Linked DNA regions of Tribolium castaneum. The protein of the gene in region 2 purifies or fractionates together with the protein of the main gene of each other region. This does not show direct contact. Links are inferred from orthologs where the notes say so. Each region holds a gene or a part of one and is shown on either strand. Other genes may lie near its edges.

Region 1 (3,990 bases), on a different chromosome or scaffold from region 2:
TCGAACTTGTAAACGGACTCTGTTGGCGTGTCCACAGTGAAGTTGCGCAAGGATGACTCGCCGAGAGCTTCGAGTTTTTGGGCCAGTTCCGCTGTCTAATTTTTTTTTATTAGATTAATGTTATAGTCAGGGAGGAGCACAAATAACTAGAGGATTCGAAACGATATACTAATTTAAACCTCCTCGATAGTTCAATAAATTAAAAAAATGGTTGTATTTAAATAACTGTGAATACAACGCAAATAAAAAAAAGTAGATTAGATCTCGTTTCGTCTCCTACGTAGTTAGGAGGTGAACTTTGTTAGTACTGGGAAATTAAGTATTTTACCTTTGCTTCGCCTTTTTGTAAGATAGTGTCGATGTCTTCATCGGTGATTTCCGAGTCTTTCGATGCGAAGACATGATTGGCCCCGTGCCGGATCATGTTCAACATCTCGTCTTTGTTCAAAGACTGCGATTTGTTGTCGATTAGACGCCCTTGTTGTATCACTAACTTGTCTAGCCTCAGCTTGACTTCGGCCCGTTCTACGATTTTTTCCTCGACTGTATTTTCGGTGATAAGTCTGAACACACGAACTTGTTTCTTTTGGCCGATCCTGTGCGCTCTGTCCATGGCTTGGAGGTCCATTTGCGGGTTCCAATCCGAATCGTAGATGATGACAACGTCTGCTGTTGCTAAATTAATACCCAAACCTCCGGCTCTCGTCGACAACATAAAAATAAATTTTGAGCTATTTGGCTCATTATATTCGTTGATTTGGCGTTGCCGGTCCTCGTGCGGCGTCTGTCCGTCCAATCTACAATAATTGTACTGTCTCCAGTGGCAGTAATCCTCCAAAATGTCCAACATTCGTGTCATTTGTGAAAAAATCAAAACCCTCGAGTCCTGCTCTTTTAATTTGGGCAGAAGCTTGTCCAAAAGCACCATTTTCCCGCAATTGTAGACTAAATGTTCGTCGGTGGTGTACGGGGGCCCAGGCTCAGCCCCATCGAACAAATAAGGGTGGTTTGAACACTTACGCAATTGCATGAGAATGTTCTGTAGTCTCATTTTTTCTACTTTACCGGCCCCGTTTACCACATCAATATCCTTCATCAGGACTTTAGTATACCACTCGCGCTGCATTTTGCTCAAACCGACGTAAACTTTGAGTTCTTTTTTCGGTTTTAATTTTTTCTCGACCTCGGATTTGAGACGTCTCAATAGAAACGGCTTCAAGACAGCGTGCAAGCGTTCGACTAACTGGTTATCACCCAAACACTGGTTTGTGTTAAACCAAGCGTCGAAATCATCAGCAGAGTTAAAAACATCAGGGAGTAAAAAGTTAAGGAGGGCCCAAAGTTCGTGTAAATTATTTTGTAAGGGGGTACCGGTGAGTAAGAGACGATTTGTTGTTTTAAACTCACGGAGAATCTCCGATAATTTCGATTTCTCGTTTTTAATACGATGAGCTTCGTCTATTACCATGTAGCGCCAGTTGAATTTCTTAAAAACTGATTTTTCTTTGATAACCATTTCGTACGAAGTCACACAGACGTCCCAATCGCCTGGCATCATCACGTCCCGAATGAAAGCATTCTAAAAAAATAATTAACGAAACACAATTAGAATTAAAGGATCCATTCTATCAAAGCGGGGTTGTTATGATGACTAAGGTTGAAAAACATCTTAAATTCATAGAAAAATATAAAGATGCTTCAACTTTTTCCAACCATATTCTCTCTTCTAATCATTTTTGTACTGACAGTGATAAGGAAGAGGCCTTAACCTTAACCCCCTGTTACCAGCCCCCTTTTACGCCACTGATGAAGAATGTAATCGCGAAAGCGCTCTGTCCTATCACTCTTTTTGGATATTATAAATTTTTACGTAGGTTGGACTTTGTGTTTTCCAACCTTAGTCAAAACACAATTAAACTAAACCAGGTCTTACCCTGGCCTCTTGGTCCCCAATGAGACACACAGCGCGGATGCTGGGACACCACTTCTTGAATTCGTTCATCCAATTGGCTAGAGTCGACTTGGGGACAATCACAATGTGAGGAGACGGCGTGTTTTTATAATGTTTCATGAAACCTAGCAAGGAAATGGTCTGGAGCGTCTTCCCGAGCCCCATTTCGTCGGCCAAGATCCCATTGATCCCGTTTTCGTACAAAGACACCATCCAGTTCAGCCCCCGGATTTGGTAGTCCCTCATTTCCCCGTTCTTGATGAAAGGCGGCGAGGCTTCGAACCGAATCGTCGGTTTGGCCTTGGCATTGCTTTCGGCCAGCAGTTCTTCATCTTCTTCCTGCTCGGTCTTGCGGTGGCGGTGGTCCGCCACTGGGTCTTCCTTGATTTTCTTGGGACGGCCCGATTTCGGTTTCGAAGGCGTTTTGTTTTGGTTCATAAAGTGGGAGAAAATCTCGGTTTGTTTGAGCAGGTAATCGAAACGGCGGCTGCGGTCCGTTTCGAGTTTGGTCTCGAAGTCTTCGCCCTTCCCACGCGACGAGAGGGTGTCCGAAGACGAGGCATTCTTCAATTTCATAAATAAAGCAGAGTCAATGACCCGTTTTTACTTTTACTATTGTGGTTGTTTTAACAACAAGGCTCTTACCGAATTCTCACCAGTGTCAGCGGTTTCACCGCCTTCTTCCACTTTGGACATGGTGCTGGGTGCGCGAAATTCTTAGCTAAAACTACGGAATGTTGGTTTTTAACGACGATAATTTGGAAAAATGCCGTTCATTTAATGATTCGGAAGCGATACGTAGCGGGAAACACTACGAACTAGTCGCAGGACGGCCGCATCTGGGGGCAAATGCGTCAAACTGGTGAAACACCAACAATCCCTACACACTTTGAGCCCATTTTCGGGCGAAAATACAACAATAATTGCATGCTGCACCCCACAACAACGAGAGAATTTTATGATGTGGACAAATTTTTAAAAGACAATTTTTCATAAGGCGGTGAAAGCGTTTTAGACGGTGGCCTTGTAAATGTTGGTAGTCCCGACTGTCAGATTGTTTAAAACGCCGGATGTTTGGTTGTGTTATCTCAACATCAACAGTTTTGGAATAAAAACATAAAACCGTTCCTGATAATGGTAATTGACTATTTTCAATAAGTACTTAGGCGTTAGTATTGATTTTAGACGACGTCCCCTTCCTTTGTTTTAAAAAAGAATCTCTCCTCAGTTCGTAAGAAGATGGCAGGCTCCAAATTTGAGTTGACTGAAGAGCAGAAGAACGATATTAAAGAGGCGTTCGATTTGTTTGATAATGAAGGCTCTGGGAAGATCGACGCCAAAGACCTGAAGGTGGCAATTAGAGCGTTGGGATTTGAGCCAAAGAAGGAAGAAATCAAGAAAATGATTGCTGATATTGATACACAGGGAACTGGAAAACTGTCTTTTGATGATTTCTTGCAATTGATGACCATGAAAATGGCCGAAAAGGATTCGAAAGAGGAGATCATGAAGGCGTTTCGCTTGTTTGACGATGACGAGACCGGAAAAATCAGTTTTAAGAACCTGAAAAGAGTGGCTAAAGAACTAGGAGAGAATCTCACAGATGAAGAATTGCAAGAAATGATTGATGAAGCAGACAGGGATGGAGATGGTGAAATCAATCAGGAAGAATTCTTGCGAATTATGAAGAAAACCAGTTTGTACTAAGTTGGAAACATACCAGGTGATTTCGTAAAATGCTAAAATGACAGCCTTACAAGAATTAAATGCACAGTTTCCTGTCCTATTCGCAATTTAATTTGTTTAAAATGTATTTGGTTTTGCATTAAATTGTAAGGCTAGTCTAGTCGTCTTGCGTGAATCACCCTGTACCAATTAATTGTTTGGAAACGTCTAGTCACCGTTGCACAAATTGTCAGTATTGTAAGTAGTCTAATATTTGTAACTTCTTAACTCAGTCTTAATCATTTTCCAAATTTTCATGCATTATTTTTAAGAAAAACTCGTATATATTTCTACTAAACCATCAAAAACAACGT
Region 2 (3,948 bases):
CACCATGCGCTACACTCTTACCCTTAGAAAAAAAATAGAAACAATAAATGCACGGGTGTAACAATTTTTAATATCTTCTTTATTTTAAATGGACGTAATGCCATTTATCCACTGTAAAAAAAAACACAACATATAAGTATTATAAAACATTTAATAGAAGAAGAGAGTGTTTATTAAAGTCTACATTTATTGCACAGTCTTCTAACAAAATAAACTCTATCAACTAAAAAATTAAATTAAAAAGAAAACAAATTTTATGAGAGACTTACCAATAGGTTCGACCTTTTGCGGTTGCGAATAAACTGGAGTTTTGTTAATCACGTCTTTAGCCTCACTGACTGATATTTTGAATGGATTGCCCTCAATAGTAGTGTTGACACTTGAAAAAGTAATTAAAGCAATCAATTAATGGCTTAATTACATTTTTATTAAGGAAATTTAGAAACCGAGATAAAAATTACTTCCGCCACTGGTTGTTATATATACGAGAATTTTGCACATTTTTCAATCAAAAACTCAAAAACTAAAATTAGCAAACTACATATTTAAATACAGCCTGTTAGGGAATGGTTTAGCAAAATTTTAAAGATAGATAGACAATAGCAAAACAAATCGATTAAGTAAACTTTTTGTATATCGAAAAAGCATAGATTTCCCAAAAAATTTTAGCCTTCATTAAGAACTCATTTATTTTGCAAGATCTTGTCAAAACACGCCAGAATAAAATACAAAAAATAAATGCTTTCTGGCGTTCCAGCAAAATCAAGATCGTTAGAGAACTAAAAAACAGAATTAAATAAAGAATTAAACAAGTGAAAACAATAGTAAATTTGAATGTTTTTGTAGAAAAACTATAAATGGGGTGATTTGTTTGGAATGTTGAACTTGAAGTTTTTTGCATATTAAATGCAATTCCACTTTTATCACAAAAAAAGATATCAGTTATTTACTCGAAAGTGGCTATTCATTAATCATGAATTCATTGCATTCGTTTTGAAAACGTAAGTTAATTATTACGAAATTAATTATTAGCTAGTTTTTTAAACTAAAAATTTACAAAACAAATAGTATAAATCTGATGCTTTTTGTGTTCAAACGCCTCCTTGAGTAAAATTTGGACGAGGAATATTCGGTACATAATTTATCAAAAAATAGTGATAACTTTAAAATCAACTCAAATAATTGCAACATAAACAAAAAAAGACAAAAAGGTCCACCTCACTTTCTGCTTAGGTAGCAAATAAATCAGTTGATATTTTATTTCAGTACCAATTGGTTATGACTTCATTTAAAAAAATACAAATAATTAAGATTACGCTTTATCATTTACGAATCATAAATTAAAGCAAAGCACAGCGCAAATAATGATGTTCAAACAATAAATAGTAGATTTACGGAAAAATTACTGTTCATAACAATGGGATCTACCTTCAAGTATAAAAATAATGGCAACAAAGATAACTCTTGTCATGTTTTAAAAGTTTCAGCATTCAATCAATATGAAACAAACAATTTAGCAACCTTGTAACTTATCAGTTTTAGGTAAAAACGCCGTAATCAAATAACATAATAACATAAAAAGAAACACTCAATGTCACCATAACTTTTACGTACCAGGAAATGCCCTTGGCATCAACTTCTTTATTGACCAAAGCTTTCCAGAAACGGTGTACCTATAAAAAATGCATCAACTTAATAACACTAGAAAATCCTTGGAAATAGATCAATACCTCATCTACCACTTTCAGCGCAAAACTCGCCGGTTTCGCTTCGCCATTAAAAGCGAACTGATTTTCAGGTTTACCATCTGGAATTTTATAGATTTTAAACCATTCAACTGAGGCTTTCAAAAGACCAGGGAAATGTTTCTCTACATCACTAACATCATTCACTTGATCGGCTAAAGGATCCTTAACATCTATAGCAATTAATTTCCAGTCTGTTTCTCCTGTGGATAAAATAATTAGAGGAAAACCCGGCACTTGTTGATTGTACCTTCGTCAATTAACGCAATGGTTCCTAAAATTTTCACCTGAAGGACTTCCCCCCGTTTCGCAACCCTGTACCCTATTTCAATAACATCTATGGGATCGTTGTCCCCCTTGCATCCTGTACCATCATCAAGATGCTCGGGGTTTTCCCAAGTTTGGGGCAAAGCCCCATAGTTCCAAATGTAACCATGGTGCGGAAAACAATTGGCAACAAACCTGGGCTTACCCTTCTTCACATCTTGCTTGATGGGGTTCAAGATCTCCTTCATAGTAATCTAAGAGAAGGCTGGCTGATGGCTGTTTATCTTTTCGCCTTTTTAGACTTACCTCCATCTTGGCATTGGTCCACCTGGGGACCTCCACAATCATGTTGAAAATTTTTTTGGTGCTGTCCACCACCAAAGGGACATCGTGAAGTGGCGAAATTGGTCCGTTTTGATTTTCTGTTAATTAAAAGTTCTATGATAAGGGTCGGGGGTCAAAGATGAAGATCAAGGATTGTGAGAGGTTATATTATATGATTTTAGTCTTACGGATGTAAACTCTGTAGTCTGGAGAGTAAGGAGATCCTCTTTCAACAACAGAATAGGCCATATTGAAACAAATGCCGGAGGACGAAAAACACCGCAAACTGTGACTTTGGTGTGATAATAGTTTGTGCAAGCCGCCTGCGAACACGCGTGAGAATTTATGGACGACCATTGCCCCCTCTATCCAAAATCACTGCACTAACTGTTGAACTAATCAATACAAAATAGGCGCGAAATATTCAAAATTTGGAAATACGTACAGGTACAGATACTGTACTCACCAACTACAATAAACAACAAAACTTATCACATTTCACTGGCTTAAAATTAAATAAACTAAAAGTTACATAACAACTAATTAAAAACTATTGGTCGAAAAAATAAATATTTGTCTAACATTGACCATGGTGAGTAATTTGGAGTTGTTTTTCCAATTACAGATTGATATCAGTTTATCTTAAGAGTTTCTGGTGATAACGATTTTCGATTAAATTCCAAGGTTCAACAATTCGCACGTAGGAAACTTATCAGTCTTATCACCTTGAAGTCAGCAATGCGTTTTGCTCACAGGTTTCGCTCGTTGCAGAAATCTTCGGTAAACACCAATTTACTACAACTAGTGTTAGAAGATGGCGCTGTAATGGCGACAAAAACTCATCATCCAGTGTTGCCAAGTCTGGTGAAATGTCGCCAATTGCATTTCAAAAATTCTCGAAAAGTAAAAATTACTAAATGTAAAACAAAATTTTCCAAAATTTTGTATAGTAATGTTCTAAGTGTTTTTAAGTATATTCGGTTCACTTCCATTAAAACCATTGTGGTGGAAATTGGATACTCTTAGTATTAAATTTTATACGAGTTGTCATGGTAACAGGTTAGTCAATTCCATCACAATGGTTTTTATGAAAGTGAACCGAAATTACTGTTTTCAATCCGATCGACTCATTTAGTATGCAAAATTAAAATACCTCTGCAACTACATTTTAGAAAAAAAAAAAAAATTTCAAAACTATCCACTCATCCAGATATGTCTAAAACTCATTTGAAAAAATTGTTGTAAAAAATCTGATGAGATTTTACGTGTTTTACTTAATTTACTTGGTTTTTTGTGCGTAAAATTTTGTTAAAATAACCACTCAATTTGGTCGGAAAACGGTGTTATTTTATCTTTTGTACACTTAAAATAGTAAAACACGTTTATGAACTAATGTTTTTGTAAGATATCGCACAACCAAAACGAAAATGTCAAAAACAGTATTATTTTTACATTTTATTACGCTTAAGTTAAAACCAATTAGAGAGATTTAAATGTAATTTTGCAATTCATTCGGTGCGTATCACAATAAACTCAAAAATTATTAAATTCATTTTTTTGAATTGGCAACATTGTTATTATCATTCATTGTTGAATTATAATTAGTCCACGT

Evidence for each region.
Region 1: the proteins of Nurf-38 (region 2) and Iswi fractionate together in Drosophila melanogaster (co-fractionation; 4 studies listed by BioGRID, with this or other methods). This does not show direct contact. The link is inferred for Tribolium castaneum from reciprocal best matches to the Drosophila melanogaster genes Nurf-38 and Iswi.

What each region holds. Positions count from the first base shown.
Region 1 is NC_087402.1:7,785,140-7,789,129, forward strand, and holds the start of Iswi (chromatin-remodeling complex ATPase chain Iswi), read right to left. Parts: upstream 2,812-3,990; 5' UTR 2,648-2,811; coding exon 2,597-2,647; intron 2,516-2,596; coding exon 1,934-2,515; intron 1,580-1,933; coding exon 329-1,579; intron 96-328; coding exon 1-95. Other genes in the region: uncharacterized protein LOC660873, read left to right, coding at 3,086-3,088, 3,137-3,658.
Region 2 is NC_087397.1:12,922,781-12,926,728, reverse strand, and holds Nurf-38 (inorganic pyrophosphatase), read right to left. Parts: upstream 2,806-3,948; 5' UTR 2,694-2,805; coding exon 2,525-2,693; intron 2,435-2,524; coding exon 2,319-2,434; intron 2,267-2,318; coding exon 1,996-2,266; intron 1,949-1,995; coding exon 1,731-1,948; intron 1,674-1,730; coding exon 1,615-1,673; intron 380-1,614; coding exon 270-379; intron 224-269; coding exon 174-223; 3' UTR 134-173; downstream 1-133. Other genes in the region: CYP6BQ13 (cytochrome P450 monooxygenase), read left to right, coding at 3,075-3,116. UniProt on the Drosophila melanogaster protein: Component of NURF (nucleosome remodeling factor), a complex which catalyzes ATP-dependent nucleosome sliding and facilitates transcription of chromatin.